Linked DNA regions of Drosophila melanogaster. The protein of the gene in region 2 interacts with the protein of the main gene of each other region in a pairwise test. Each region holds a gene or a part of one and is shown on either strand. Other genes may lie near its edges.

The links.
Region 1: the proteins of Gs1 (region 2) and CG8568 interact in a two-hybrid assay, tested with the Drosophila melanogaster proteins (one large-scale study listed by BioGRID).

Annotation. Positions count from the first base shown.
Region 1 is NC_004354.4:17,442,548-17,459,628, forward strand, and holds CG8568 (uncharacterized protein), read right to left. Parts: upstream 9,997-17,081; 5' UTR 9,782-9,996; coding exon 9,496-9,781; intron 8,589-9,495; coding exon 6,595-8,588; 3' UTR 6,443-6,594; downstream 1-6,442. Other genes in the region: p-cup (presidents-cup), read right to left, coding at 3,988-4,292, 4,363-4,508, 4,603-5,078, 5,380-5,772, 5,858-6,154; CG43658 (uncharacterized protein), read right to left, coding at 15,674-17,081.
Region 2 is NT_033779.5:124,867-141,009, forward strand, and holds Gs1 (glutamine synthetase 1), read left to right. Parts: upstream 1-7,210; 5' UTR 7,211-7,616; coding exon 7,617-8,816; 3' UTR 8,817-9,606; downstream 9,607-16,143. Other genes in the region: CG3164 (uncharacterized protein), read right to left, coding at 1-54, 211-400, 1,244-1,361, 3,934-4,076, 5,642-5,685; ovm (oven mitt), read right to left, coding at 13,829-14,332, 14,390-14,470; CG31975 (uncharacterized protein), read right to left, coding at 14,605-14,821, 14,875-15,088, 15,248-16,067.

The DNA.
Region 1 (17,081 bases), on a different chromosome or scaffold from region 2:
TTCCGATCACCCTCCTTCTGCATTTTCCAATCTGCAAGTCCCCGCCACCTTTCGACTGACACACACGTTTAGCTTGCTGGTACGGATGATTGGATCGACATTATGCAGCTTTTTCATCTCGCATTGGAGCCAATCAGTCAGTAGGAGTGGATGGGGTGTAATGGGCCGCGGGGGCGTGGCTGGTGCATTGTTAGCTGCGTTGCAATTCACCTGGCTGATTACCGAAACGCTGACGGAGCCCCGACAATTGTGAGTGCGAATATGAGAAAATGCAGCCATGTGGCATAAATATTAAGTATACGACGTGTGGGCCGCCTGCAATTGTCCTTCCCATTATTGAAAGTGACAATGGAACTATTATTGCTGGCATTCATTGATAGTATAAGCCCCTCCTCCCACTTGTTTGCCGTTCATACAATATTATCCCTCTAAAATACCAAGAATTTTCCATTAATTGTGCCTTTAATCTTTCATTAAGCAATTCCTACCTCTCATAATAAGTATGTTTGCTCATTTTGAATAAAGGAATATATTTGTTGACATATAATCAAGTAACGTGTACACCAATTAATAGTAAGAGACAATAACCCTAAGCTCTCATAATTAATATAATGTTGGTATGCTTCAGCATTTACTGCAAATTAAAATGTAGAAATGTGAAATGCATAAGTCCTGCATTTCAAATTAATGATATACTATATTATAGATTTATAACATTACCTTCTAATTTTGTAACACAAAACTAATATTTACATGTTAAAATGGTACTTTGTGGCTTAAAATATTGTTAATTTATGTTTCATAGCCTTTACTAGATTACCGAAGATCCCCATTTTATTGCTATTCATATGTTTTGTTATTAAGTCCCCTGTTTTGATTTGTGGTCACAAAACCTAGGCCCCTTTTAAATGACAAAGTAATGGCCATGCCAAGTGTATCCGGGTATTAGCCAAAGGCATTGGCAGGACTTAACCACGCGTGGGATAAACGTTCAAATAACTCAGACAAGACTTGGTGAAAACAAGGATAAAGACTCTCGAGGGGCTCACAAAATCGTAAAAACGCCGTATGTGGAGTGGAAATCTTTGTTGCAATAATTCGTATTTCTGGACCAGGGCAAAAATAGAGTGTAATGAAATGAAAGATTCATGCTAATGGCTTTTGGCGACTTGGCCCATCTAAACTATGCAAAGTGTTTTCGCCGCAAAACGGAGGCACTGTTTATAAATAATAAATCGAACGGGTATGACAATCGCTCACCTCCAAAGAGGCCAGACAACGCCTATCCTTCCGCACTTTCAAATTCAGTTCAGTTTGCCCGAAAGTTGGCGCACTTTCCTAGCGTTCTGTGCGTGCTTCTCGTACCGGGCCAACGGGGCGTATGAGCGACGGCGAAGCGCAGCTACCAGGTATCGAATATCAAGTAGCCGACTGCGGAGGCGACCTGCCACAAGGCGACACAAAAGCGAACTGAGGCGCCCATCCGGCGACTGGTGGCCGCCACAGCCACATGGAAATGATGCTGCCACCCGAAGCCGTGCAGTTCGTACAACTCGGCTCCGAGCACTCGGATCTCGGATCTCCGAGTTGCGAGTGCCCCGCAAAAAGGATGCAAGGGAGCGGCGGACACAGTCGTGGCAGGATATCCCGCTGTTTGGGCACACACACACACACACACGGGGGCAGAAAAGTCGAGCGTGGGCAAGTCGAAAACCATTAATTTAAATATTATATTGTGATTACATTTCTATATTTATATTTTTTTTGTATAACAAGTTGGAATATACTCACGTTTGGAATTTCATTTTTCGCACAGTAAGCTACCCGCGAAGCTACACCAATTTTGCGTCCACCACCGTTTCGAGGCGTCGACTTGAGTCCTGTCTTTTGGATAAAGTCGACACCTGACCGCCACTCTGTCCAGGGAAAGTCCGGCTAATTACCCTAGTGTCCGGCCGTATTTGGCGGTCAGGCGGCAGTGTCCTTGTGGTCCTTCACCCTCGCCTGCCGTTGAGTGACTTCTTACATCTCCGTGTGATATCATTTGACACAAAGTCAACGTTCAGGTGAACTCAATTTGCACCTGCACAAGCTTGCCACACCTGTGCATATGAGTTTTTTATGTACATACACTGGCAAAATAGACACCTAAGAAAATTTAAATCAGTGACATATTTGGATGTAACTTATGTTCCTTACTTTTTTTTTACAACATACTTATTTTGCATTAACAATTTAAACACCGAATGTTCATACTATAATTCAATACTATTACTATAATTCACTGTGGATTTAGTCTCAGGCTTAATTTTATGTTTTAAAATGTTGTAAAAACAGGAGAACTCGCTTCCGTTATTTTGCAGTGGATTTTAGTGTGAGCTTAAGCCGCAGAAAATTGTTCCTTCCCGTTGCTCCTCTGGCGTCCGTTTGGCCCGAACCTCGGCTTTGATTTGGAGTGCTGTTTATGCATGCAACAGGGCGTATGAGTACTGGCTAATTGGCTGGAGGTGGCGGCAGGTCACAAGTCACATAGCAACAAGTGCAGCTCAACTGGCTCGCTGCTGGCAGTACAAAGAAAGTATACGGAATTAGGAAGAGCATGGAAAATTAGGTAATTAACAGTAATTGTAAAGTTACACAACTTTTGTCATTAGTTTTTAACTAATTTAAATTATATTTTTTCAAAGAGGTTTGCGCACAAACTTTTACCAAATTGAAATGATTGAAAAATTGATAGAGCATTGGATAATAGTTTTATAGTTTTATTTTTTTGTTAAGATGTAGATATTAGTTAATACAAGCAACTCCACCACTTGTCGCAGTTAAGCAACTTTGATGAAATTTTCAAATTCCACCACTTGTATCGAACTTTTCGTACAAGATTGCCACTAATAGCTGCAATTTCTCCCCCATGGAAGCCACAATATTGGACCCACTGCCTGGAAATTCAATTGAAATGCAGCTGTTGGCTCGCTTTTTGCTCGACTTTGCTTGTTTCGTGCTTATTTATTGTTTTCGGTCGCATTTCGACGACACTTCGCATGGCTTGTTGCGCTATTGCCAAAAACGATAAAGCGGCAAAAGCAAAACATTTAATTGGCGGCTGCCCCATGTCCAGCTCAGTTTTTTTTTTTTTTTTTTTTTTTTTGTCAGCTAACTTTCTTTCCGCAAAAAAGCGAACCGAAATAATGAAAAAAAAGCGGACACCCACACTCCCGCTAGCATACAAATGAAGAGTAATAGCCGCTGCCCCCCCCTGAAAACCCAGCCCCTGCTTAGTTGCTTATGCAAAGTTTTACACAAAAAACAGGTACAAGAAAAAAAAAATTGAGTCAAAAAACTACCGCAACAAAAGGCATTCGCGAGCGATGTGAAAAATAAAAGCAATTAAAAATTATAAATAAATATTGTAATAATTGTCGTATAATCGCCGCCGTGGAAGGCAGACGAAGAAGGCAACATAATTAAATAATTTCAGCTGCTGGCATTTAAGTGTTATATAATATTGCCCGATTATGGGGGGTTATTGTTTTTCACGGCCTTAATGGCCCCCCTTTCATTGTCTTTCTTTCTTTCGGCTATTTTTTGCTACCTCTTTTTTCCCGCGCTTCGCTTACTAATTTAGCCATTGCAACATTTGGGGCCAACGCTAAATGCTGTGAAAATCCAACACTTTTGTTTCCAAGTGCTGGCGTGGGAGAATTCGCATTTAACCAGTTTTTAGCTTTATTTTAGCTTTTGTTATCTATAAATATCTAAATTGAGAAAAAATTATCATAGAAATGCATTTCTCTCGAAAATTATCGTTACTGGACTTAAAACCATTGCTCAACATTTATTCGTAAAAAAGAGTATCATCATATTGAATGATAAAAAAAAACTTGCGCCTAAATTACTCTAAACTTGTTGCTCTTAGCTTTATATTCCATCAGGTTGAAGTGAAATGTAGAGCTAAGAGCAACTGGTCGAGCAAATAAAATAACTAGACTATGTGCTACTCATTGATCCCTGCGAGCTATTCGATGTGATGGTGCTGACGGGACTTCGTTTCCGGGACTTTCGCTTGTTCCCATCCGACTGCCGGATCCGCTGTAATGCCAGATCGTAGTTATTAACGTTGATGCAGATGGCTATATAGGCCACCAGCTTGGGCGCCTGCAGTTCGCTGGCCAACTGACTCGCCTTCGCCAGCGATTCCTTTAGCCTCTCGAAGCGATTGAGCACGGCATGCACCTGGCAGCCCAGGAAGATGCTGTTGAATCGCCAGATCAGACAATTGCAACTGCGGGCCTCTGGGGGTTAATGGGCAGAAGGTGGGCGTTAATGGAGGCGCCACAAGGTGTTAAGTGGCATGTAACCCACCGTTAAAGGCCTTGCGGGCCACCACGAGGCACTTGTCGAAACGCGACTCCTGGAAGTGACAGCGCGCGATCTCAAACAACAAATAGGATCGCTCGATCGCAAAGCGGGAGTGACGCAGCCGATTCTCCAGTTGCTCTAGCTTCTGGCTGAAAATTTGAAATATATATATAAAAAAAAATAAAATGTATGTTTTTGAAGAGCACATTCGAAAAGCTTGGATACAGCTTCCCTTACACTCACCTAATTCGGCTGTGCCGCTCATCCTCCTTCTCGATCTCCACATAGATGTTGGGACCCCCGAACTGTACGCTCATGTCGTGCAGCTTCTCCGTCCGCAGTAGGTATAAGATGGGTCGATTCTGGGCCTGCAGGAAGTCGACATTGGCTGGCACCGCGCACTTGTCGCAATAGGCCAGTGCCAGGATATTGTAGACTTCGTTGATGAACTCAAACTTCCAGGGCAGCGTGCGATGGGTTTTATACTCTATGAATCCCGACATTATGTTCTCCACGTAATCGGACAGCTTCTCCACATCGCCCTCCCGGCGCCGCTTGTGCACCTCGTGCAGCATCCGCATGCAGTCGCGTCGCGTCTGGTACTGCGCATGGAACAGGTGCATCTCCTGCCACCGACGCCGCTCCTGGTCCGCAATCGGACCGTGCCGTTGTTGCACGTACCGCCGGTTGTACAACGGATTTCGGGCTTGAAGCATTTTCTAAGTGAATTCATGAGAAGTGGTGGGAAATGCTAGTAAAGCTCTTGATTTACACGAAAGTAATATGTTTAGTAAAATTAGAAAGCAAGTAAGTATATAGTCTAGGATTCTCTTAAAAGTTCATTTAATCTTACTAAACATGTTTATAGATGACATGTTTGCAAATTGTTTAACTGCAACTGTTAATCAATTTATATTATATTTAGAGTATTCCCTCTTTAAACTTTGTTCTCGACTCAGAGATGGTTTTCCCTGAAAAAGTTCAATTGCCAAGTGGTGTTTTCCCCTGAATTGGACTCACCATAAGCCGTCGCACAATCGTGAACTGCCTTCTGGTCAGCTTGCGCATTGGGGGCGTGGTGGCAAGCCTCAGGGGATCGAGGAAGTTGCGGTCGCTGCGCAGTTGACGCAGCAGCGCGATATCGACGGCGCTGCGGCCCAAGTAGTTGTGGTTGTACAGACTCTCACTCGCCCGCCGGCGGGCCTTTTCCAGTAAGGTCAACTGCGGCCGCTCCTTGATAATGATACTCTGGACGTCGCACTGCTGTTGGTCGCGCAGCTTCTTCCAAAGTGGGCGGGACACATGGGCGGCCAGCTCCTTCTGGCGTCGGTTGATTTGCTCCAGGACGTCCCTGTGCTGATGCATAAAGGGACGCAGGGATTCGCCCAAGGTGTCTTCGAAGACGGCGAGGCTCTAATGGAAGGTGATATTTCAAAAGCTATTTTCTTTTAAGCAATCTATTAACAAAATACAGTGAGATATTAACAATGACCCTCACCCTTTGCTTGATCATCTCGAACCGCCCGTGGGCAAACTGTCCGCCAAAGGGACGTCCGTCCGTATAAAGCGTGGTTAGGGCGTTCTCAAATTCGTTGGCATTGAAAAGCTCTTCGCACTTCTTGGCAATGATGTCGGCGGTATGTGAATGATTGAAACTCAATTCCCTTCGATGACCGAACATCGTTTCAATGGCCCGCTTCGATATCTGGATGTCCAGGAGGGCGAGATCCGGACGCACCAGCGATTGCTGGCTCCGAAGGAGCAAGGACTTGTACAGGCCACTCGTCCATGACATGTTGAATTTTGTACGGCTAATTTCATGCAAACGCAACTGGAATTTGGCAAGATACTAAGTGAAACCAGTGAACAAAAGTGTAAGTTTAACTGGTGGAGCAAAGCCAAAATGATGGGAATAATGTAGAGATCAGTGAAAAAACTATTATTAGCAGCTTTCGATTTTGCATTTGGCTTCAGGGCAGCTTAACCACCGAATACAGATATTAAAATACCAGGAGTTGTGGCTTAAATTTCAACCAGGCAAGCCTCGAAAAATACCTGTTGTTAACTTGGAATCTCAGTGATTAAATTACAATTAACGTTTATTTCGCTTGAGTTTGGCTTTGAGTTGGTTTCAATAAATACAATAAATACGTATTAATTAACAGGCTTCAACGTTTAGCATTAACAATTCATTAACAATTACGAATTACAATAAATTAAGCTAAGGAGTGGGGCCTAATGGTGTTTCCTCAGGGGGCGCGGCAGGCGGCGGGTGCGCAGACGGCGACGTCGGGACAACGACTTCGCTGCCGGCGTCGCATTTGCATTTCCATATGCATTTCCACTTGCATTTTCATTCGCATTTGCATAGGCATTTTCATAGCCATTGCCATTTTCATCAATTTTCACAGCGCTTTCTTCGGGCTTTGCTGCTTCAGCGGATTCTTCAGCAGCGTCTACCTCGCCTTCTTCCTTTTCATCGTCCTCCTCATCTTCTTCCTCCTCGTCGTCTTCATCTTCCTCTCCTTCTTCATCCTCCCCATCTTCTTCTTCTTCGTTATCTTCATCTTCTTCAGCGGCTGTGTCATTTGGATTGACCTTTTCTTCATGACTTGCCTTCACCTCTTTCTCCGGCTCTATCTCCTCTTTCTGCACGCCCTCTTCGGACTTTTCTTCCGCTCCCTCTTCCTGTTTCTTCTCCTCCTTCTTCACCTGGCTTGGGGGTTCCTTCACCCGGTTTTTTTTCTCCACCTCATCATCATCGTCCACGTTTATCTCATTATCACTATCATTTTCCATTTCAACAGCCACTGTTGTCGAGTCTTCTTCGTCGTCTTCTGCCTCCCCTTCTTCAGATGTCTCGCCCTCTTTCTCTGGCTCTTCTACTGTCTTCTCACCCTCTGCTTCTACTGTCTTTTCCCCATTGTTTGTGCCATCAATAACAATGTTTGGCTTGTTAAATGTCGTAGCTGTTGTCGGTATTTTTGTCGTTGTTGTTGGTATTTTCGTTATTGTGGCTGTTGTTGTTGTTGTTGTGGGCGCTTCAGTGGCTTTTATTGAATTGGTAATTGTTTCAATTACCTGACTTGGCCTCAGGCCACTCTCGCCATAACCATTGTCATTGTCAGGTGTCTCTTGCTCAGACTCCGTCCCCGTCTCTTTCTCTTTCTCCGCCGCCTCTGCTGCCGTCTCTTTTGCGTCTTCAGCTGGCATTTCTTCGGCCTCTTCTTCGAAAGGTGCTTCTTCTGCCTGATCGCTGGCCATTAGCATTTCACTTTCGATTGGCAGGGGCTCCACATCTTCAAGTTCTTCGTCCTCCTGGTGATCTCCCTCGCTCTCTAAAGTCTTCTCCTCCTCTTCTTGAAGATCCTCAGCTAGAGGCTGTTCTTCTGGAACTTTTTGGGGAACCATCGCCATCGGGGGTTGATAGCCCATCGGTTCATCTTCATCCAGTGTATTTTCTGAAGGCTGTTGAATCTCTGGCTGCTTTTCTGCAGGCTTTTCTTCTTTTTGGTCTTCAACCTTAATTTGACCTAGTGTTTGATAACCTGATTCTTCATTTTGTGTATCCTCCTCCTTATCTACCTGATCCTGTTTAGCTGGCTCGCTTAGAGTTTGATTCTTTTGAGGTTGGTAGATTAATTCTTCTAGATTTAATTGAGGCTCAATCTTCTGTGCTTGATTATTTATGATGAGAGGTTGATAGCCCATTGATTGATTCTTCTCCATCTCATCCTCTTTAACCTGATCAGTGGTCAGTGTTGTATTCTTCTGCTGCTGATTGTTATCTGGTTGATAGCCCTGGGATGGAGCCTCCTCCTTGACATCCTCTTGATAAGGATACTCTTCCGGTTGATCCTCCAGCTCGGCGTACTCGTACTCCTCCGGATCGTCGCTCTGACCATCTCCCATCGGCAGTACGGGCTTGCCATTCTTGTCCACATACTGCAGACCATCCAGACCCATTCGCATGCACTGGAAATGCATCTCGAAGAGATCGGTGGTGGCCATCCGAACCACAAAGTCCATGCACATGTTTAGGTTGTTCCCAACCACTGTGACGTCGGTCATTTGGACGCACATGGCCATCGGTACACCCATCATGACGGGAATGCAGAAGGGCGCCGGATTGCGCACCGAGATTCCGTATTTCGAGGAGGGCCTGCCATTAAGAAAGACCTCCAGTTGGGCCTCCTCCAGATGCGGCACGAAGCTCACGTTGGCGCACACTGCAAACAGAGGCAAAATGGAAAGAAAACGTTGAGTCAAAATTACAGATAGGCACAACAATGAAACGATTCGATTCAATGAATGAAAGTGGCGGGTGGCAAACTGTCGACGAATCCCAGGCAAATGGTGGGTGCTGGGTGCTGAATGGTGGATGGTGGATGAGGCGATGAGGGGGTGGCCACCGCTGGAAGCGCCAACAATTTGTGGCATTTTGATTGGCAAATGCTGGCATGTCACGAAGCGAAGCGGAGCGAAATGGAAACCAAGCCAAACCACCGATCGCATTGTAGTCTCCGGCATGCGCCGCCAACCCGCGGCCAAGATCGGTTTCTTGGCCAAGGAAATCGGCCTGGAATCCAGCCGAAATCGCAGCCAAATATGTGTGGCCACCACCCGCAGGCCAGGAGCCACGATTCCGACCAGGCTAAGTGACGGCAAAGATCCCAATTTATGCATAAGCATATGGCCGACGGATTGATCCTACGGCGATTACTAACCTAGTGCCCATTAGTGTATATTAAGATATTAAGGCTAAATAGCATGCTGAAAATGAAAACCCATTAATGGTTTTCTTCACCAAATAAATAACAAGTGCACTGTGCAAAAAATCTACTAAATGCATATCCTTTCTCGCGTAGATATAATACATGTTATTCGTAATCAATGTTCTTGTTGGTTTCAAACCATAATAATATACATCAATACAAAACCATTTCTTTCTAAAGAAATGAGAAATATTTTTAACATTCTGAATTTGAAATTATAACTAAGGTTGTAATTTTCATAATGTCTCGAATGTCACACTGTTTCATATTACTAATCTCCTAATCAATAATCTACTAAACATTTAAAGTATTGCAATATTCTATTCCCCATTAATAGCTAACGAAGCATGGGCTTTCTCACCTTTCTGATCGAATCGGTACTGATCGACCTTGAGACCGGCGCAACATCCGCAGGTGGGTCCGCTGCACTCGCAGGGCTGGCCAAAGGTGGACCAGATGGACCCCTTTTCGGAGTACTTGACGCTGGCCAGATTTCGGCCCCTGGACACACTGACCGTGGGCGGTAGGTAGGGTCGGTGGGTCTTCAGTTCGTAGAAGATCAGACCGTTGCTGTAGCTGCGCGAGGATGTGTGAAGGGGGCACAGGATGAGCACAATGGCCGCGCTTAGGCAAATCCAGGGAATCATGGCCACTGTGGATGTCAAACTGCACACTGAACAAAAAACTGATGAACACTGAACAAAAAAGGGTGCTGCAACGCGTTTCAGGTATGGTATTGTGTGTGGTATTCTCTTGGCGAATTCCCGGATCACTTCACGATTAACGGTAACGGTACAGCCGTGGCAATCGCAATCCAATGGCAATGGCAATTCAACTATTATTCCAGTGGAGCAATGACAACCGCTCGCGATCGACGACAATTAAATATTAAAACGCTGAACGCGACGAGCGTTAGCTTAAAAATGAAATGGAAACCGCCGCCCGAATAAGTGGACGTCGACGTCGACGGCAGCGACTGCGACGGCGAGCGCGGCAGAGGCCAAAATGTTGCTGCTGGGGGGACACCGCAGCAACAGCAGCACCACGCAGCAGCAACAGCAACAGCAGCCGCAGCAGCAGCAATATCCAACGGCAGCGCGGCAGCCTCGTTAAATTGTCGCTCGTTGCGGCTGTTTGCTGTTTTTGCGGGCAAACCATTTGTACACTACTCGAAAAAGGGTAGCACAGTCCAGTGAATAGCTTTGTACATTCCGATATGCTTAAGAACTTCAAATAGTAAAATCCTTATAATTCTACTCTAACAAATATTGAGTATCATAATCAAATGTATATTCAGTTGAAATTAAATAAAGTATTATATATATTTAACAAACAAGATATTTAAATAATATATAATTATAATATAAAATATATAATATATAAATTCTTTATAATAATTATGTATATAACCCAATAATATATATTCTTAGTATTATTAAGTTTATGATCCTATTTTATTTGTGATTTGGTTTAATTTAAAACTTTTCTTATGATTTGCATTTATTTCACTTTGCGACTTGAATTTTTTTGGCAGCATGGTTTGTTTTTTAAAAAATATTATTATTTTTATTTAAAAATCCATAGTTGTTTAAACATATCCTAACTCCCTGATTAGGGTATTCCATATTCGCATTGATCTCAGACGATTTAGTTCTTATCAGCAGCGGCGAATCGCCAATTTCTGTTGTTGCTGCTGCAACCATTTTTTTTTTTTTTTTGTATTCCTCTTTACTATTGTTGTTACTGTTTCTGTTACTGTTACTGCTGCTGTTCGTGCAGTTGCAGTTTTTACTGTGGCAGCCGCTTTGTTTATTTGTCTTTTAAGCCGATGTTGCTGCTGTTGCTGCTTTGCTTTGTTGCGTGCGACGAGCGGTTTTTGTTTTTTTGTCGTATTTCGGGTGACAGTGACAAGAAAATTGCGGCGATCGTGACTGGCTGGGAAAGCCAAAAACAACAAAATTCCACACTCCCTGCCGCATTTGTTGTTGCTGCTGCTGCTGCTGCGTGGTGTTGTTGTTGTTACGCAAAGCACTTGAGGCAGGTCATGGCCCCATGGACAAACCGAAACCCTCCACTCGACTCGACTCCACTCCACTCGTTTTTCGAACTGGGCACCGCACCATTGCCGGCGGCGGGAGTTACGGTTATGGCCGCTGCTGTTGCCATAAACAAGCCTGATTTATCGATCCGATTGCCGCATCCGTTGTGGATGTCACTAGTTTATTCTCTTCCCTGGTTCATCCTTTTCCCCAAAATGGCATTCTTCGAATGCATCAACAAGCAAATAAACCAGTCCTTTGGGCAACACGTCCTGTTTCATTTCATTTCATTTTGTATTCGATTGTTGCGATTCCCATTTGATGGTTCTATTTCAGCAAATTGGGCTTTTTTAACCCTTTTATAACAATCTCTGGCACTGCAAAGTCCTTTCTTTTAACAACAATAACGAACTACACGGAAAATTGTATCTGTTTTCAAGAAGTGAAATACGTTGCAAGAAGATAAATTAACAAATTTGAAAACCTCTTTGTTTGCATTGCATCTGAACAACAAAATATTTCTATGATTTTTGGCATAAGCTATGATATTATATTAACAAATCATTAATGTTTATAAAAGAGATATTTATGAAAGAGATATTTCAAACTATTGGGGCATCACTGCATTTGAATGGCAGCGTATTTCGGTGGCTATTTCGGGTACCGGTCCCAATCGCCTTAGGGCCCCAATATTGCATAATGTCTGGCCCAGACTCATTTATCAGCCGGTGGCCGGTGTCCGATGGCCAATGGCCAATGGCCGATGACCAAAGGCCAGCGGAGGAGAGTCAGCCGAACTGCAATCTCGTTAAGCGTTAAGGGGGACAGACACTTGCCAAGTTCGAATCATTATTTCGATTCAAAGGCGGGCGGCGGAATAAAGCAAAATGGAAATAGATGTGAAAATGAAATTGAAAATGGAAGTGGAAATAAAAGTGTCGCCAACAATTAACGCTAATAAGCTGGACTGGCTGGGAGCTGCGGTGCAATGTGCTTTCGTTTATGTAATGGGCCATCTCGTCATTATCAGCCGACTCGCTTATTGGGCATTATTATTCATTACTGATAGCATCAATTTGGCACGCCTGCGAGTCTTTCTCGGCGAGTTTTTTCTCTGGCCCTTACGCAAAACTAACGACCAGACTCAAATATATAACTGAAATGAAATATGTGGGTCAATTGACGGGTAGGAGCTTTCAGCGGATTCCAATTGCTTGGTATCCTGGCTCAGAACATCCTTCAAGCTTTCGACACAACGACAAGATAAGCTAAATTGACAAACTTTAAGCTCTTTTGCAACGCAGGGTTTGAATTTGGGCTTCAACTTTAGCGTAAACTTACGCAATCTCTAGGGAACACCGCACTGCCATTTTAAATGCATCCAATACTTGGTAAGGTATTTCCTTTTTAGCTACAATATTATAAATGCATTACAAACTTTCGCTTTTTGGCCCTTCAATGTGCATTGTCATTTGAGGTTATTTAAAGTGCATAGATGCAACTAAAGCTTAACTGTGCATAAAAAATCAACAAGCTGAAAGTGAGCTTCCGGCTTAAATTATTGCTTAAATAAATTGCTAATTGTATCAAGTTTAAATACATACCATTCTTAAATTGCAAGTTATTAGTTCTAATAGGGCTATGAGCAAAATAAAATATTTAGGATTTTTGGCAATAAAATGTTGTGAAAAAATTATTTATGAAAAATACCACTAAATTTTGTGACAATAAAAACACAACAATAAAAATAGTTGTCCTAATATCAAATGCCATATGTTGTTAAATTCGATAAAAAATTTTCCCATCGATTAGCAGTCAAATATAATATTATATAAAAAAATATTATTTTAAAGAGGTCAATAAACGATTGTAAATTTTGGGTGAGCTTGGTCCAGTTAAGGAATTCTCAGAATAAAACAAGACTTTCTTCCCCACAACAACGAAATGAATGCCTAAATACGAAATTTCATATCTCAATGGACGTGTTTTAAAATTTGCATTCCAAAGTCTTCCACTTATAAAAATCAGAAAATATAAACATAATTAAGTAGTTTTGGAAATCAATTGAGTAGTTAGAATGATCGTTAATTTAAACGATTATAAAAAAGTCATTCGAAAATATTGTATTTATATTTATTTTTTTTATATTTTTTTATTGGTTATCTTTTGAATTAATAATAAAGTCTTGATAGTAATTCGTCAGTATCATGAAACAGCATAATTAAATTTACATTGTTGGTCTTCCGTTTTTGAGGCTGTAAAACTGTATGGTCAACCAAAGATTTAACAGTGACTGTCAAACTTTATTACAGGAACGCCCCAAAATTATGCTGCATATTTTTAAAGCAATAGCCGCGCTTTTCAAACAATCGCCAAATATGTAATAATGAAATCGAACCTAACGACTTCAAAGACCAAATAAAAACGCATAATATATATATTTTTTTTATATTTTAATACATTTTCTTTGTTCTTGAATACATACAATGCTCTTGTTTTAATTTTTTTTTGTTGTATAACACCGACAAAGCAACTGGCTCGCTGTGGATAGATAATTCACAGACGATGCCGAATAATATGCCATCCAAGTACATGTACATTTGGGTTTCCCGGGGAACCCGTAAATATGTGTGATATATAGGTAAATATATTATTTTCATATATGTCGATGAGTGCGTTAACGCGTATGTGTGTGTGTGTGTGTGTGTAAATATGCACAATGATATAAAAAGTTACATAATTGCATTATGCCTGACTTCTATATGTGTATCCAAAAGATATCGTTCACAAAAAATATCTTCGATAAAACATTCTGTTATTTTGTTTTTTTTTTTTTATTATTTTTAGCTAAATATTCATGTTGCACACACGCACATGTATATTTCATAAATGTAAATCGTATATAAGTATGTTTTTGTGTGTATATAAGATATTCCTTGTTCGCTTCATTACCTTTGTATATTTAAGTTTACTTGACAGACAAAAAAACACTTGTTTTTTATTTCTTGTTTGCTTGTTGTAAATGTTCACAAATACAGGCATTAGAGTACTACAAATGGGGTTTATCCATAAAGGGGAAGTACGTTAAATATTAATTTCGTTATAATACATACATAAGGAAAGTGCTGCCAGCTGCCTCAGAGTTTTCGCTTCGAAAAGCTTGAGAAAAACCGATAAGAAGTGCTGCACATGGTCGTAGAATGGGCCAAATAACCATTTGCATTACCATGTCGCACTCCATCCACAAGTCCTGCTCCTTCGACAGTTTCCCGGATAACTAAACAATGCATTATTGTTTTGCTTTATCTCTTATTGTACAGACAACATCATTTCCCCCTAGCTTGTTGGCTTGGCCGCTCTCTTGTGTGTGTGCTTCATCGCTTATCATCTAGTTTATATCCTATGTAACATAGTATGCTTACAGAACTAACGAAAAAAAAAAACTTGTATATTTGGATATTCAGTTATGAACTACATACGAAAAAAAAAAAACATTTCCCTAGGGCTAAGTTTCACATTCTAACGCAAGAATCGAGAACAAAAAGAGATAGTTGGCTGCTCAAGTTTGAGAAAACACTTGACTAAACACTAGGTTTCTTCAGAAACATTCGCTATATATACACCCCTGTGCCCACTACAGGTTCCAAATCTGATTCAAACTCAGCTTTTCCCGAAAGCTAGCAGATTTTAAGCATTCATATTGAAAAAGTGCAGTTATATGTGATTAACTAAGAAATTAACGATGTTCAACTTCGATACCAAAATTATTGGAAATGATCAAAACGAAAGCGTTTTCCTACACGGAAACCTCCATGAAAATGATGGTTTTGCAAAATATTACAACAACATTAAAGTTTAGCGAATAGATGAAATTTATAAACCATATGTATATACGGTTCTACAACAAGAAGATAGTTTTGAAATGGGAAAAATAAAATCAGTACAGTTTATCCAAAGATCTGTACATTTGAAAATATTTTGTTTAGCAAACACTGGAGCTTTGGGGCTAAATGGTTCTCCGATTCGGATTGGAATCGTAAACAGGGCGCTAATAAATATATTCGATATTCCGGCTTACGACAAGCGCAAAAGAAATCAAGTGATTTAGGTGGCCGCCGGTTTTTGAGCCTAAACGTAAGTCTATGTGCTACAAACTAAATTTCGAAAAACAATGTACACGCGAATCTAGAACTCCTTGAGGCTGCCGCCGCGCTTTAGCTTGGTCAGTCGCTTCAGACTGGCACCCAACATGCCCCCCGATCCGCCAGCACCTGACAATCCGCCTGATCCGTAACCGCTTCCTCCATCGCTGCCGGCACTGCGATCCCGCTGAATAAAGGATCCCCGGAACCGGACCCGTCCACGGCCACGACGCTGCGCCTGCTGCAGCTGCTGGTGCTGCTGATGCTGCTCGCCCACGCGGCGCCACAGCTCGGTTAGCGGTGGATGGTGCTGGTGGGGATGCTGCTGAAGGGTGCAGCAGCACACCAGCTCCTGCGATTATAACTTCTTCTCCCAGACAACGATGTGGGCGTCATTGGAGTTGGCCGTCAGCGGTGAGCAGCTGGGATTACCCGACTGCATTGTTTGGCCACTGAATCCGGAGCCACTGCCTCCGCCGCCGCCGGAGCTGCTGTTCTTATGGCTGGGCGAACCACCCGCCCCGTTGTACCACATCTGGCGCCAGTAGCCGCGTCCGCCCATCAGGGTGATCACTGTCCTTGGTCCGTCGGCGTTCTGTTGCTGCTGCTGCTTGGAGTTCTGCTTCTGTTTTCGCTTTAAAGTGGCCACCGCGGCGGCTGGCTTGTCCAGTCCCGAGTTCCCTGCGCCGAGTCGGCTCATCTCATCTGGCTTGGCGGAGCTATTCAGCTGCTGTTGCTGCTGCTGATGGTGATGGATGTCCGCCGTGGTCATGAGGCCGTTCTCTGATATGTTGCCCAGATCACTGCCTGTGCCGGATGTCTTGTGGCTGGCACTGCTGCTGTTGCGGGACACAGAACGTCCGCCAAAGTGCCGGATGCCCATGCTCTCTTCGCTGCCCGACGATGTATACAGACTGGAGGACTTGGAGTCCACCGACCAGTTTGAGAGGTCCAACGACCTTGGTCGCGATGCCTTCATGCGCAAACGTCTATCCAGGGTGCACACCTTGCCGGGTATAGCTGCCAATTCTGGATCAGAGCGTCTCATACCCTCATACATCATGTCCATTAGGTTGCCCTGATTGCCCTCCTCCGCATCGTAGTCCTCCTTCACGAATATCAGCTTGCCATACAGGCCGTAAACGTCGCAGATACCGTGCTCGCCATGCTGCGAAGTGTTACCACTGGCTGTTCCCGATCCTGCTGCACTTGCTCCTCCTGCTCCGCTGCCGGCTGCCGCGGCTCCCAGGCCACGGGGTAAAGTTTTGGACATTCTATTCGGATCATCGCGGAAACGCTTGCGGTGGAAAGCCGGCGAATTTGCCAGCGAAGCGCGTATTTTTGCAGTAAAACTCTGGTCCAGCGAATTCTGCTTGTCCAGTTTGGAGCTGCGCGGTGATGAGGCAGTTGAATCTGCTCCGGGATTACTGGACGACATCTCTTCCTTAGCAAGGTCACGACGCAACACCACGGCCCCGTCGTCCAACTCCTGGATCTTTGGATCCGCATCAATGGCCGGCAGCTGGAGGTCATCTCCCATGCTGGGTACCAATGGAGCTGCACCCACGGTCGGTGGCTTGTAGGCGGGATAAACCTTTGGAATCAGTGGCAACAAAAAGGTGATGGGTCCAAAGTGCGCGTGACAGGACATGTTGATTCCACCGCTGATGATGGGCACTCCCTCCAGACGGGGCAGTGGAATGGTCACCGCAATACCCACATTGGTGCCCACCCACAGCAAACCCTTGCAGGCCATCAGGGCGGTC
Region 2 (16,143 bases):
AGTCATCGTATATCGGTGCTCGCTCAGGCTGAGAGTAAGCAAAATGTCATCGATCTGGAAGAGGGTGTTAAGCAGGTTATTAGCACGTTTAAGATAAAACCCAATACACAAGACTGTCGAATCAAATTGTCTACTGGATTGGCTACTTATGATTAATCTTTAAAGTTATCAAATTCTTCCTCTCGGGCTTTTTTAATTTTTTCAACTTGCCATTGAATGCTTCTCGGGCTTCGAAAACTTCTTGCTGAGCTTCAGATTCGTTGCCACAGTCATTGCTTCCTGGACGGTAAGGTTTCCGTGAAGCTGATTGTCCTGCATGATGTAGGCAGAAAGCTTGCGAAATGCGCTTAGGTTGCGCTCGGCACCGTTCATCGTAACGCTGCCTTCGATGCTCGAAGTTCTGCAAGTGCAATAGATTAGTAATTTGGTAATTTGGATTTTAGAACCGAGGGCTATTGTAAGTATGAGTATCATCTAAATTACATTCCTGTACCATAGTCTAAAAAGGCCCAACCTTTTTTTTTTGTGCGTCTACTAGACCTATTATCACTGGGCAAAGCCAATTTCGAGTAATCTAGCGTGTATTTTATTGTGCATATCTACGTTTGTGTGTATGCGGACCTTTATTTGATATACTAAGCATACATGTGCACGCGATCGGGCAACCTAAGTCCGAAGTCCAGCAAAGTAGTAGCTGATTCTCCCTCAAATATTCAAACCAATAAAACTTGGCGACATTGCTAAATGTGTGTGAGGAAATAGCAAAGCAGTCGATTACACACAAGTACACTTGTATCTATGTATCATAGATTTCCTGCTCGTATCGATTCAGGGTGATCGGTTGACCACTCCTGGTAACAAAATTTAATGCATGAAAGGGTAATGAAACGGTTTATGATTATTATGCAATAGAGCAAAATTTAAGGTTTACAATAAATAAATAAAGATTGAGCTGTAGAAGGAAAGTCTTTGCGCTTAGAATAGGTACATATGTAAGTGTGTATCCCACATAAAATACAGAAATACGAAGAACGCAAGGCGAGAATAGGTCGGCTGTTTAAGCACCAAAAGCGGCAGAGTGGTTATCAAGTCGCAATTATTTCTGATGATAATACAGGGCTGAATATAAACATTTTCGAACTCGTTTCGCCGTATTCTCGTGCGCTGGCGCAAGGTCAGATTCAGTGTCGGAATCAGCAGCTACTTGACGTGAATGCAAATAATCAGGCCCTGCGAAACCTACTTGTAGCCAGACAAAATGTTGAGCAGCGTACTCTTGCCAGCACCCGATGGTCCCATTATGGCGGTGAGTTCTCCAGACCGGAGGCGTCCACTGACGCCCTTCAGAATGGTCTTGGCATCTGTAATAAAAACACACAAAATTAGTGTTTGGGCCAATCTCTTGTTGGGACTAAAAATAGTTCGCGTTTTGATATGTCTTACGTCAATATCTAAGTGCCGCCGCAGCTATCAAGAAAGATATTGATTGCATTGGCTTTTGGACGAGCAAGTGTAGAGCCGATAGGTAAACAAAATCTGCAAAGTCTGACAATCGAAACACATAGCACGGTCAATGGCCCCATCACGTTTTTCTTCGTCCACCTCCATATATAGTATGACTTATGCTATTATCGACAGAATTCCAACAGTTGTCAAACAACCGCGTCCATTACTCAAATTTTATTAAACATCCAACATCAACAACGGACAACTAATAAACAAAGCGGCTAAAATTCGTAAAAAGCCAATTGCACTTTAGTAACGCTTGTTTAAAAATAGTTTGACTTATTCTGACGTATATTCGCAGATGCTGCCTAAATGGAACTGTTCAGATGCGGAAGTGCCTTATAATCATGGCATACCTTTAAAGTTTAAACCAATAGTTTTGTACAGCAAGCCATCTGCTCTACGGAAAATGCTAATATACCCGTTTTCATGGGGGCACGCTCTTCGACTGCCGGCTCTTAATCAAAAGATGTATTTACTATTGAATCGACTTTGGACACAAAAGCGAGCTATGACTGGTTATAGAGCTTCTGTAAAGTGACTATTACGAAATAATTCATTTTATGTTTGTCATAACTCCGATTAGTAAAGTACCGTGACCCGCTCAGAAGTGAAACTCAAATTTATTAAGCTCATGCAGGGACTGTAAATGTTTTATTCGGCGACTTACTTAATACGTAGACTTTAAAAGCTGGTAATGAATTCCAGCTGCCAGGCAGCGACTAGCAAGTCGTAACCACTAGGTACGCAATGTCTCTCATTGAACTTACTTGCTTGCCAATTGATGTAATAGCACCAAAAGTGGGGTCACGCTTGAAAAACTATAGTCCAGCGCTAAGGCCAAATCGTAGCTTTGATGTTTATGACCGGATTGGACAACAAGTGGAACCATTCAGGGCTCCTAAGAAAAGGTTACGCCAAACTTGCAACAAGGGCACAGAAAGTCGCTTTCAGAATTTATTTATATCTGTTTTAATATAGCAGCCGAAAACGTTAGCAGGCACTTACTTCATTAATTGTGTTTACTTTAAGTGGCATAGTTAGCCAAAATCAGCGCAATTTCCATCTGTTGCCTCACTTCCATCTTATATTGTATACATTATTTTGGCACATAACTTAGCACACCCCAGAAGGCGGCGTGCCATCTGCAAATCTTTCGGCTAGGTGGGGCACGCTCACAGGGCAGTGTAAATAAATCTGTGTATATTCGCTTATTCTGAACGACTTAATTGAGTCGGATGGCCGACCTTTGAGGTGTGCAAAGTTCAGGCTGCTGCCTTCTCCAATTAGTTTTGCACTTGGCTGGCCTTGGGCTTAAAAACAGGCTTTGACAGTCCCTCAATCTTAGACGGGATTCACGGACTATGTCCGCCGTGAGGCCAGCCATCCAATGCGACAACGAGGGGAGTGGGTTTCATGAATGAGCTTTTATAAATATAAGAATAAAGCAGTTGTGCACGTTCGCATACCAAACTAATGGAATATTATCGCTCGGCCATCATTACTTATTCTGAACGGCCCCACCGGGGCACTGCATATTACCACAAATGTGTTTTCACCACCACACCCGACTAAAGCTAGCTATTGGCAGTGACTAAATCCTAATCGCTCTGCTAACACAGAAAGCACATACCGCCGCCATCAGTCTTGACTTCCTCAACTATAACATACCCGCTACTCAATTTCATAATCCTTTTTTTTTTGGCGGATCAGGGGCAGTCTACGAGGAAAGGGTATAAAAACAATACCTCTCCCTCTGGCACGTCATCACAAATTGTTTTCCATAAAAGCAGTAGATCCAAAAAAAAACCCCATTGTGCTCCACCCATGCTTTAAAGTAGATACACTGCTACGTGAGAAAAGTGCGAGTACATGGCTCCTCGCCTTTTAGATGCTATGGCATCGAACCAAGTTGTTGACTGTCCCAATAGCGAAATAGCTTGTGTGGGCAGTTACTCCGCGGCTACTGGCTGATGATTTTGATGTATTTAGCAGTGCTTATCGCGGTGAAACCTAGTGAACTTTGGCCAGAGCCGCCCTTGTGAAACTGGGAAATGAATTTGACGAAGAGACGACGGGTTACATATCTACTCAGCCACAACCCGAAGTTCTCCGTTGCTCACAGTCTGAGTGTTGATACTGCGTTACAGCTGCTAAAAGAACAAAGAAACCAGAAACCAACACAATGCGAAGCGCAGCTAAAGCAAACAAGTAAAACCCGCTAAAGCCAGGGAAGTGCGTAATAGCGACAGAGTACTCCGGAGAACTAGCTCAATAACACATGTGCGGAGTACTACTAGCCAGGACCGGAAACAAAAGCTCTAGGGTGAGGTGAGAGCAGGCGCGGGAGGTTCAAGATCCCGCTCTCGTGCTGCCGAGGAGTGCAGCTTGATATAGAGAGAGGTACTAGACAGTGGAAGTACTTACTGCTCCGGTTCCCCTCCTTGACGCGGTACGTCAGGTTGTGAAAGGCCAGGTCCACCGCTGGTCGCTTGGGGAGGTGCTGGAGCGTCTTTGGCTGGGCGGGTACTATTTGAGCTTTCAACTGACCCGCTCCGGCTGTGCCCAGTCTGTTGTCGTTCAACAGATTTGCATTATCGTTCTTAGTCATCTTGTCAATCAATCAACCAGGGGTTAAAAAGCAAAATGCAACCACTGTGTTGTGTGTGTATTCTTTGTAAACTTTAGCACTGACAGCAATACTGCAGCCCCTGCTGCCCTTCGTTCCCGTTTGGTTTTTCGTTCGCGTTCTCGATTCGATTCCACCACCGTCTGGTCCGGTGAGAGAAATTTTCCACCCGTCTGCTCGAAACGGTACTGCCGCTTCTCAAATATTAGGACTTCACTCGCTCGCGCCGCGATCGCAACTGAAATAAGCAATTGCGGCAGTGGAACAAAGGCAGAAATTTAGGCAACCGCTGACAGAGAGTGCCATCGCATACTCTCACAGCCCCAATGCTTTACGTCTGTGGTTAGAGTGGGACGACAATAGAAGCACTACTTCTGGTGGGGATTCTAGTGCGATTGAGAGGCACTGCGGGTTGGCTCTCTCTCAAAAGCCAGCGCATTCTTCTACTAAGTCTTGAATGAATTTGGGAAAAGCCTATAATCTGTGAATATTCCTCGATCGGCGGACCCATGTATCTCGAAATAAAATACCACTAACTAATTTCGAGGAAAGTCTTTACCTTGAGGAAGGTCTTTGATTCCCAGTCTTGTACTTTGATTGGTTTATCAGCCTTTTATAGTAGTTAGTCCTGGAAGCTAAGGTTCTGGCCATTGGTTTATTCAATCTAAGTTAAAAGTTCACGGCCTCGCTCATGACTCATGAGTTATTGGAGGGGCTTATCTATGGGTGTCAATCTACAGCTGATAGGAGTTTTCAATGAGCCGATAAGGGGTTGTACTTTGTCATTTCGTGTTTTACGTAAAAATAAGTTAATCGGTGCCGTAATTCGTTTAAAGGAGCTCTAGTACGCTTTTTAATGGTTTGCTTACGCGACATTTTACCTACATTTTGCTTTTCCCTACATTTAATGTGGCATGAGGTCATTTGTGGCTATGGCGTGGGACGACCTTACAACTTTGCCCCAGAAACAGTTTTGTGGTATATCTGAACGCAACAGTTAGATGTAGACATTGCTGTAAGGCTCCTTGTTGGCATGCTTTTACGATGCTCCGGTCTATATTTTGCCCAATCTAATTGGGATTTACGGATTGCACTGGGAGTGCTAATAACGTTTAGTTAAACCGGTTATTGTATATATTGGGGCAAGTAAAAACGTAATGAATTGACCAACAAAAGGTATTTTCCCAGTACAAACCGCAATTTGAGATATTATTCCTAGTTCGGTTTCTGGGTTCAAATCAGCATACAGCACTAAAGTTATGCAGTCGCCTTAAGATATGAAAGAATAATGTATTTCCACTGGCAATTTCCCGATGACTATTGGCTTGGAAATTTTTTAAAGCTTGTGGCTAATCAAGTCACGGAGATGTCAACAATTGGCAGGAATTGCAAACCGGTTGTTCTACACTTGTTGATTTCGTTTTATAAACGGGGGGTGTGGTATATTAGATGTGCCAACTAAATGTGATGCATTTTGCTTGAGACCCGCCTGATTCGGCTACTTACAGATTATTATTTTCCAAAAACTGCTTCCAACTATACTGGTTCATGGTGCCGTAACTCAACAGCTACTGAAACCATCGCTTTGAAGCAACAAGTTGCCTTCGCGAAAGCTAAGTCGCAGGCAATAACGAATAGGCAGTCGAAACCCAAACCGAATATAAGAATTAGCGATTTTGTATTTGGTTGTTGCACATCGGGTGTAAAAATATGTACACTCTGCTGGAGGGAAACTTTCGTAGTTTCTTGCGAAAACTGAAGCCGGCCAACTAGTGGAAACGATGCCACGTAACTGGAAAAGCGTAGACGGCTATATGGGAATTACTCGGGTCTATGGTGAAAAGTGGCACTCACACATTGGCACATAAAAGTTTCCTCTGTTTTCCTTGTTTTCTTTGTTATGCCCACCTGAAGCTCTCCCAATATGAGCCGTCCAAAAAAGCTTGCTTTCCCGCCAGAAACAGAGTTTTAGCTTTATTTTAACATTAATCCTATCTGAAATATACTCATCCGTTCTTCAGTACTTTCCTCTAAGTTACGAGGCAACCAACAAATAATTGGAAGACATATCTGTGGTCTCGGCTTTTGTGCGACAACATGCCATTATGTAGGAGGGAGTGGGCCAATATGCGTGGCTTGATGAACGACGGCCTAGGACTAAGTATAATCTGTAACAAATAAATATTGAATATCCTCCACACAGGATATTTAGATCAGAATTTACATAGCATTTAAATTTCAACGTTTTACATACTCAGCCTAAAAGTTGGCTACACTGTGTACTTATACTGCTATTTTAGTTATAGTTTTAGTTAGATATATTTTTAATATTCAGAACGTCGTATGCGAGACCCAAGCCAGGAATAGGAACATTTAGTACCGAATTTACATATTATAAACAAATCATTATTGCTTCATTTAAGGCTCTATTAATGCGGTCCACCACAGAGTTTATCAAATGCCAAACACGAATAGACACAGCTGATACGGTGCTCCTTGCATTCGCTATATTTAATTGTATATAGTGAACTTTGTACCAGGCGTGTATTCAAAACAATCAGCCAAAGAGCAAAATGGTGGAGGTTTTTACGAAGAGATTACGAGAAATGAGAGAGTGTTGTAATAAGTAGTACTGCTGAAATGCATCTGCATACTGCGTAACCTATCATAGTTTCTGAAATGAATTTATCAAAAATGTAGAACTTAATTTGTGGGTTCTAAAGTGGGCCATGCACATAAATGGTGCAGGTGTTCTACGATGAGAATTACTAAAAACTTTTGTTTTTCATTTGGCGCTAATGCAAGCTACAAGTGCTCGAAATGCATAAATGAGCTTATAGCGTGTGCTCAGTAACGGGGCTTTTGGCTACCCGACTAGCCTCGAAACATAAACATTATGGGTCGCATTGCAGGTCTCTCTGGCTAGTGGCTGCGGAGCGGGTGCTCATATACCGCCAGTTTTGAATGCTCTCTGGGAGGCCTTTGTCTGTGCGTCGGCGTCGCAAACGAGATAAAGAAAAACCCGAGGCGCGCGACGAAACAACGAAAAAAGTGAATGCTGTCGCGCTAACTGTGCTCACAAGACTTCCAAACATCGAATTGGTCGGGTGTCCCCAACAGTCGCTCCGCAGCCCCTGACAGAAACAGAAACGAAAACCGAAAGTACCGCAATCCAAAATTACCAAAAGACCTGTCCAACCAGCGACTGTTTAACCAATCATATAACTGTAAAGTGGAAAAACGAGCAGAGCACGGTAAGTTGTGCGGAAGACTGCGTCTTCACTGGAAAAGTACCCCTTTTTTAACTACCTCGGAAAATCAAGTGCAAGGAAAATAATTACATAAAAATTCATGAGAAAAGCAGAGTGAGCCAGCATGCCACCAGCCCTTGCCCTTCCTGCGCACGTCCTCACATTCGCCAGCAATACATAACTAACCGTGTCCTTTTGTCCTTCTCGCCGACTCCAATCCAAGAACCAAGATGGCACTACGCGTGGCAGGACTCTTCCTGAAGAAGGAGCTGGTGGCTCCCGCAACACAGCAGCTGCGTCTGCTGCGTACTGGCAATACCACCCGCTCCCAGTTCTTGGCCAACTCCCCCAACACGGCTCTAGACAAGAGCATTCTGCAGAGGTACCGCAACCTGGAAACGCCGGCCAATCGAGTGCAGGCTACTTACTTATGGATCGACGGTACCGGCGAGAACATTCGCCTCAAGGATCGCGTTTTGGACAAAGTACCCAGCTCCGTGGAGGACTTGCCGGATTGGCAGTACGACGGCAGTTCCACCTACCAGGCCCATGGCGAGAACTCGGACACCACGCTCAAGCCACGCGCCATATATCGCGATCCCTTTAAGCCGGGAAAGAACGACGTAATTGTCCTGTGCGACACCTACAGCGCCGACGGCAAGCCGACGGCGTCCAACAAGCGTGCCGCGTTCCAGGCAGCCATTGACCTAATTAGCGATCAGGAGCCCTGGTTCGGCATTGAGCAAGAATACACTTTATTAGACGTGGACGGACGTCCCTTCGGCTGGCCGGAGAACGGTTTCCCAGCCCCACAAGGTCCTTACTACTGCGGCGTGGGAGCTGACCGTGTGTACGCTCGCGATCTTGTGGAGGCCCACGTCGTGGCCTGCCTGTATGCTGGGATCGACTTCGCCGGCACCAATGCCGAGGTAATGCCCGCGCAGTGGGAGTTCCAAATTGGTCCAGCCGGGATTAAGGCATGTGACGATTTATGGGTGTCGCGATATATTTTGCAGCGCATAGCTGAGGAGTATGGCGTAGTGGTCACCTTTGACCCCAAACCGATGGAGGGTCAGTGGAACGGAGCCGGCGCGCATACCAACTTTTCCACAAAGGAGATGCGTGCTGATGGCGGAATCAAGGCCATCGAGGAAGCTATCGAGAAGCTGAGCAAGCGCCACGAGCGGCACATCAAGGCATACGACCCCAAGGAAGGCAAAGACAATGAACGGCGCCTCGTGGGACGTCTTGAGACTTCTAGCATCGATAAGTTTTCTTGGGGCGTGGCCAACCGGGCCGTAAGTGTGCGAGTGCCGCGTGGCGTTGCGACGGCCGGCAAAGGATACCTCGAAGACCGGCGGCCAAGCTCCAACTGTGATCCCTACGCCGTGTGCAACGCCATTGTTCGCACCTGCCTGCTCAACGAGTAGGCTGTGAGCGGTGCAACAGATGTTTAATTTTTTGTACATTATGTTTTATGGAACTGTGAAGCGTATCCGATCATTTGGTTATATTTACATTGAACTGAAGCAAAATTTAGTTTGCTTGTGCAAAAAAGACAGGAGACCGAGGCACGAAAAGCGTGCGCTTAGAATTTAAGAACGTGGGTGGGTGGCAAGAAGAACTAAGCTAAAGCGAAATTTCCTTAAAGCGATGGGGCCTCATGAATACTTTGCCATATATCTCACAAACTACGTATATCTATCATTGCTTTAATCTAAATAATAAAAAACATTGTACTCTACGTTAATTTTTTGTACCTTTTAGATCAAACAAACATTTTGGGATCCGACGTTGAATTCGGTCAACGCCATTTTTTGCCCTTAACTTCTTGAACGCACTTTTTTAATAACTCCTAAGAGTTTCTAAATGTAAATTTAAGAAGGAAATATCACTGAAATCGGACGATATGCATATTAATCATTCATATCCATGAGCACGAATACACATATATGTGAAATATGTTTATAAAAACCAATTGTTGATTAGAAGTTGTTAAAAATAAAATACTAAGAAATTAATTTATGTATATATATTGGTACATATGTATCTCACTTTACGGATCTGTCGCTTCACTTTGTTCGGTAGCATTTTACATCATTTTACTATATGCTGTTATAATATAAATGTCTAAATACTAGCACTAGCAAAATTAAAAATTCCATTGAGATACATAAATACATTTTGAGTAAAAGCAGAACTGCGTACAAAGCAAAACACATTACTACAGACTATTTTATTTTCTCTTTTCTGGCGAGCTTTTGAACAACTGTTGTTGCAATGACTGTGAAAATCAAAGTTTTAAAATATAGAACAGCTTGCTTGTAAATAAGAGTGACATGAGGGCACAAAAACTAGCTAAGGCAAGACCTTGTTTTTAATGGAAAGTTTTCCACCACAAACAGCTGCCTGACACTGAAAGTATTCAAAGACTAAATCTTAGGGTTTCCGTTCAGAATATGTGTGTTTTTCGCTCAACTGACACACACCCTCGTATATATGTACATATATGTATGTTTGTATGCTTGGATGAAAGATATGGCTGCGAAGGAGACAATGCTTCCATATACTCGTATATTCCCAATGGCAATATACTGCGTCCAGCTGATAGGGCAGGGGTACTGCACTCTGGGATGGCAGGCAATTGCATTTCCCTGCAATCTTATATTGATTGAGTATAACCGCGAACTCAATCGCTTCAAAGGGGGGCTATTAAGTGTGGTTATTATACTTAAACTTACAAAATAAATCTTAAATTTGAATTAAATTAAAATAGCAGATACTGCAGTACTACTAAACTGATATTTAATATACATACATATGTATGTATCTAGTATGTCTTCGAGCATCTAAAATTGAGTGTGCTTTTTTTACTGCACTTTGCATGTCCGTTCTCGCAATTGTTGACATTCTGAGGTGCAGTTAGCGGTGTTTGTTTGGCTCTGCTGGGAGCGGATTACGGATTACGGGGTATGCAAATGTAATAAGGTTAAGAGGGAGAGATAAGGCCATCCAGTTTATACAAAACAGTGTTAAATACACAGAGATAGTTCGACCAAGCCAGCCAGCCGAAAGAGGCACGGAATCATCCGTAGTCAGACCATCTATAGCTTCGTTAACTCATCTTTAAATGTTCGAACGCATTCCTGTGCCCAATTCCAATTCGACTATCTAATATACCCGTTTTCCATTGCAGCATTTGTGGGCACAATGTAGATACTATAATATATTTTAAAATCACATAAACAATCGAATCAAGGCACTAGCCTGTTATGGCCACAGAACTCAATAGTTCCGCACCGTCGCCCAAAAACCAGATTATTAATTAATTGAAGCAGGTTCATTGGTATGCATGAAACACGTTCAAAGATGTCAACATCATACAATGCAGGCCTGAGGAGATCCAGTTATGCTGCCTGAGACCAGGCGATTTGCATAAAACGGAATGATAAGCTGGACACCTGATTTCGAAACTATTGATAACAAAATGATATTGATATATCACTGAATCAAGTGATCAAAATAATATATTTTTGCTCTAGATAAATGTAGGCAACGATCGACTGGATAGAAATATAAGCTTCACTTACTCTCCTCACCTTCCTATAAAATCTTCAGTTCGTCAGTTCACTCGGTTAAAGTCCAAGCAAACTGATAAGACAGTAAGGCCACGAAGTTAATCTTCCGGCTGCAAAAGCCTGTCCAGCGTTTACCATTATCTTTTGTACCGTGCCTTTTACTTCTGACTCGGTCAGAAAAATACCTCCGCCTGGGTAGGGTTATCAAAGGGCAATAAATCATACTGGCTGCGGTTGCGAAAATAAAATAATGTTGAACCATAATTGATCAAATCAATTCCATATAAAGAGATGAAATAATTTTACCCAGACCCCTGCGAATTTTATTTAAATTACCTTAAAGTTGGGCACGATTGTGGAGCGTGATTCCTGAACGGCCTGTCACAGTAAACTCATCTACTGATCGACTCTTGTCTGGCCAATTGCAAATTACCATTTTCAGAGCCTTTAACTGGGTCAAGACATTCGCTCGCCTTGCAATGGGAGTGGTCGGAAAAAGCACTGATAACAGCGGATTTACGGACTCAATGCAGTACGTAATGTGACAAGCGGCAATAAACGGGTAACAAAACAGAGCGAATCTGTTGTGGAGCTGCTGGTGAAATAATCGTTGCTGGGGGTGCTGTTTATTTTTATGTGATGTTTCTTTTGGAGCGCACCAACTGCTTGTTGAGATTATGTTTTATAGCGCTACTTTCAGTCCGCGCAATCGTAAATGATTGCTCGATCAAAATATGTGGTCGCACTCTGGAGAATTATAAAACCTGTCAGGTACAAGCAGATACATAATATATATAATATAATCCTATAATTCTATGTCCTGTGACCGATGTCCAGCAATTAATCGGTCACGTAGCGTCATTTTGGAATGAAAAGAAAAAGAAAAGATTTGCGGCCGCAAATAGTTTACTACGCAACCGATTTTTCCATTTTATCTATGGCGGGTGTCGATACGGTGGGGTTCTTGCGCAAACACAGGCAGCCAACAAGTGCTGTCTTTTATCTGGCCTATTTATCTAATTTCCCACTGCTCACGCCATTCGCAATGTTGTGGTCGTGATGAGCGCCTATATTTAATTTGCAGAGCATATAGATGTCTGGAACTGAATCACCCAACAGCAGGGTCGGACTGCGTGTTCTGTCTTAGTTTTCCAAAGAGCCCAAAGATCTTCCTCCCCCCATTTTATGCCGCTTTTTTTTTTTAGAACACCTCCACTTTACTTTCTCTGCCACCACACGCGATTCCCAATATTTGCGTCATGGGCCCACACGCGTCTACCAAGTGATCTGCGATCTGTTCCGTGCGTTTTGGCGCATCGCATCAGACAAAGTTCAATCCCCCGATTCTTGGGGTAATCACCGTAGCCAAACCGATGACGGGCATATGGTCAGGCAAAGGTCGTCTTCTGTGGCACACATTCATGCGCATTACTTTAATTTCATTTTATTGTTAATTGGTTTGTGTCAGAACGGCGATTATGTTTCTAAGTTATCAGTAAAGCGTCCCGCTTTTAGTTGATAATGAGATTAGGATCCATTAGCAATATTCAGTCTGAATGGATGAGAGTCGCAGAGATAATATATGTATTAAAAAAAACTTTGTTTTGAGAAAGTCGTTTGATAAGAGCTTTTCGATAAGCCGGCAGAATTTTACTGGGCGTTGTTTACCCAGACCTCATTGGACTTAAATGATAAAATTAACTGTACATATGTATGTGTTTTCTTTGCATATTATCCAGACAATTTAAGAGAACGTATTTTCTGTTTACATAAAAATATATAACATTACGGGGCAACTGCTTGTTTCATGCCGTGCAGGCAATTCGAGTTCGTTCAACCGATGTCCATCTCCCTACACCCATTTTATTGGTCATTAGCGAGTCCGAAATTACATATTTGGGAAGACCTAGTAAAACCTTGTCAACACAAATTCCCCATTTAGGCCGGGCCTGTTTTAACAGATAATTAACAATAATTAATTTGGAAAACTTAATTTAAGGAAAAAGTTATTACAAGTAATTTCCCTTTAACAATTGCATAACAATTTTGAAAGGGATGTAAAGTGCAATGCAATAATTTAATATTTTAATAATATCATAAGCACACATTTTAGTTGTAATATATGTGTTACATTATTATTTATGTTACATTTATTACAACAGTGTAGTTCCTACTTTGTAAGTTTATTAAACTTATGAAGCAGATATTTAATTGAATTCCAATAATTAACCCAAAGAGATTTAACTATTATTGCACGTATTCTTAGACTCCAAAAAATTACAAAATGCAAAAGGAAAAAGCTATATAGATATATAAATATATATATATATATATATGCATCTCTTGTTTGTAACGTACATTATGTTATAGCTGATGACTTCGGTGAACAGTGCAAAGGCTGCGCCTTTTACTTTTCCATCTGTAAAAAAAACTTGTGCCTGAAGTTAATATACCTTCTGCAAGGGTAAATATAAATGCCCGTTAGTATGCCACAAAACAAACACCTGTTGGTAAAGTATACTACACTGATATGTAGAATTCTCGTATTTTTTTGATCACTTTAACAGTTTGTGGAAATTATATTCAGAGGTATAAAGTGTAAAGTATATATATTATTGATCAACAGCTGAGTCGATGTCCGTCTGTACGTTTCTGCATAAAATATTCTCATAGTGCTATCTTCCAGAAGATATTCCAAATGTCTTCTCTCTATTGCAGGTTGAACACAAGCCGTATCAGACTACTTTATCTGATATATAGCTGCCATAGAAATAGTAGGAAAAATAATAAATTTGTATTATTACTGCAAAACGTTGAATTTTTTCTTGTTCGATTTACTTGTGCTGATTTATTTCGGTCGATCTTTATTCATTGGATCCACAGTACTTTTTCACAACCTTTCCAGTCATGAAGTAGGTGGACAGCGCCCTTAGTCTGCGGCCACGTGAAAGTTCTTCAAACAAGCCGCCACTCACGGAGAACGTTTGTTTCGGTTGGTAGAGAAGGCTCAGAAGTGGGTTTTTGGGGCTTACGCGCATGTTGATCATGACGTATGTGCCTTTGACCAGAGGACAGCTCAGCGTGTAGTTACTTTGCTTGAGCATGTTGTCCTTGGCTGGCTTAAAAAGCGGTACGGAATTGAAGACATTCTGCAGGTCGCACAGTTTGGTGGAGGCGTTGTATATGGTGCGAGGCTTACCCCGACCGGAGTGCTGAAGTATGAGGATGCGAGACACCGGTGAGGCAATCTCCTCGTTAATGGTGGTTACTGAGCCGATGCCAGTCTGATTCGAGAAGGTCATGTTCACAACAAACCGAGGTCGGTCATCCGTCCAATTGGCATACGTGAAGGTCACATAATAACAGCTCTATTCGGTTATTCAATATTAGTTTGAGACATCCGGAGACCTTTCTTGAATACAGACCTCCTTGCTCCTGATCTCACTGAGCTTCAGCAGAACCACACAAGTCGAGATGCTGAGAATCGTTACCCAGGTAGCGCTCATGATTCCCAAAACTGACTACTACTGTATTCACGTTTATTTTCTAAACCAGCTGAGATAATAATAAAATAATTAGGGTTCCCCATCAAATTGCCATTAGTCAATTACAAATCTCGTTTTCGTATCAATTTATTGCCCTAGTACAATATGTCAAACTTTTCGGCCAAGTTCAGAATTTGGCTTAATTTGCGGCTAATACGCTCCGATCCCGTATTCTTCAGCACGTCCGTAAGCTTGGGGCGTTCCTCAGCCTCTGAATCGCCGATGAGCGCGCTGTCAGCCAATATAAAGCGCGTCATAAAGATTGCGTGGGGAACTTGTATGTACGCCACCCTCTTCACTTCCAGCCGGAACCTGCGAAAATCCGACCTATTCGTACTCAGTTATATATTGATCATTTATCTTACTCTTTAAAAGTGTGAACCTCCAATTTAGCTCCCACACGTCGCAGACAACGCTCAAAAGCCTCATAGTAGGCCTCTAACATGTGTTCGAACTCTACCTCCAAGATAGCCGTATCAACGCTTGATAGCAAAAACGAGATTATGTCATGCACCACTGAATCGTACTGTGCCGTCTGAAAGTCGATAATTTTCAGCTCGACGGGTGTTCCAGTGGGCCCTAAAGATTTCAAAGAATAGTACTTGTTTCTTATATTTTAGAAATTTTGTTATGCTAACAATTCCAAAGAAATAATTAGTTTTCCGCTCTTTTTATGTAAAATCGTATTATTGAATGTTATTACGTGCTAGGGCGATCATTTGTGCTAGTGATACTAACCGTAACGAAACATTATATTATTTATCCAGAAGTCACAGTGTATAATGCTGGTAAAAGGCCCATCGGGTCTATCTGGGGCGGCTGCTAAGAATTCAAAAAACTGGTCCGACAACTCTTTCATTCGGGCTACAAGTCTGGAGTCGTTGTTGGTGGCTCGACGAATGTCCTCCAGAGTCTCTGCCTTCATTACCGACTTCCACTCGGGCGCTTCAGCATGCCAATCGAACTTTTTAAAGAACGGACGGACCTGTTCCCGGAACACCTCTGGTCTGAGGATCCGCAGAGCTAGAGACAGGGCGTGGAACTCGGCCATATATTTAAGTGCTAGCAACGTGTGGGCCAGATCGAAAGCTTTTAGCCTCTGGCCGGAGACGTAGCCACTGCTACGCAAATTTTCCAGCACCAACACGGCATTTTGATCTACCTTTGATGAGTTGGATTCGAGGGATTCGCGACAGCCATAGAAGCGAGGGAATCCTTTAAATTGGCTCTCGTCAGGGACGCCAGCTTCATCTTGAAGGGTGGCCAGAGCAGGGGCCAAAATCTTGTAAACAGCGTTCTCAGTGAGGCATGTCTGCTCAGGCTGGAAAAACTGCCAGTACTTGGGGTCGATCGGAGGCACTTTAGCCACCAGCTGCTCTTCAAACGACTCACCATTGGATTTCTGCAGCCGGGCATGAATTGCCAGGAGAACGCTTCCGTAGTTATCGCCCGGTTTCGTCAGACTGCTTGTGTGATAATTAAGGAGGCGGGACCCTGAAACGTGGGGTTCAACCACTTCACTAAGAGCTCGAATTTCGGGCAGCTTGTCCACACCCATGTTCTTCAGCTTGCGAAAGATTGTGCTCCAACTGAAGACTATAATCTTCCGGAAAGACTAAAATGAATTCTTTCAG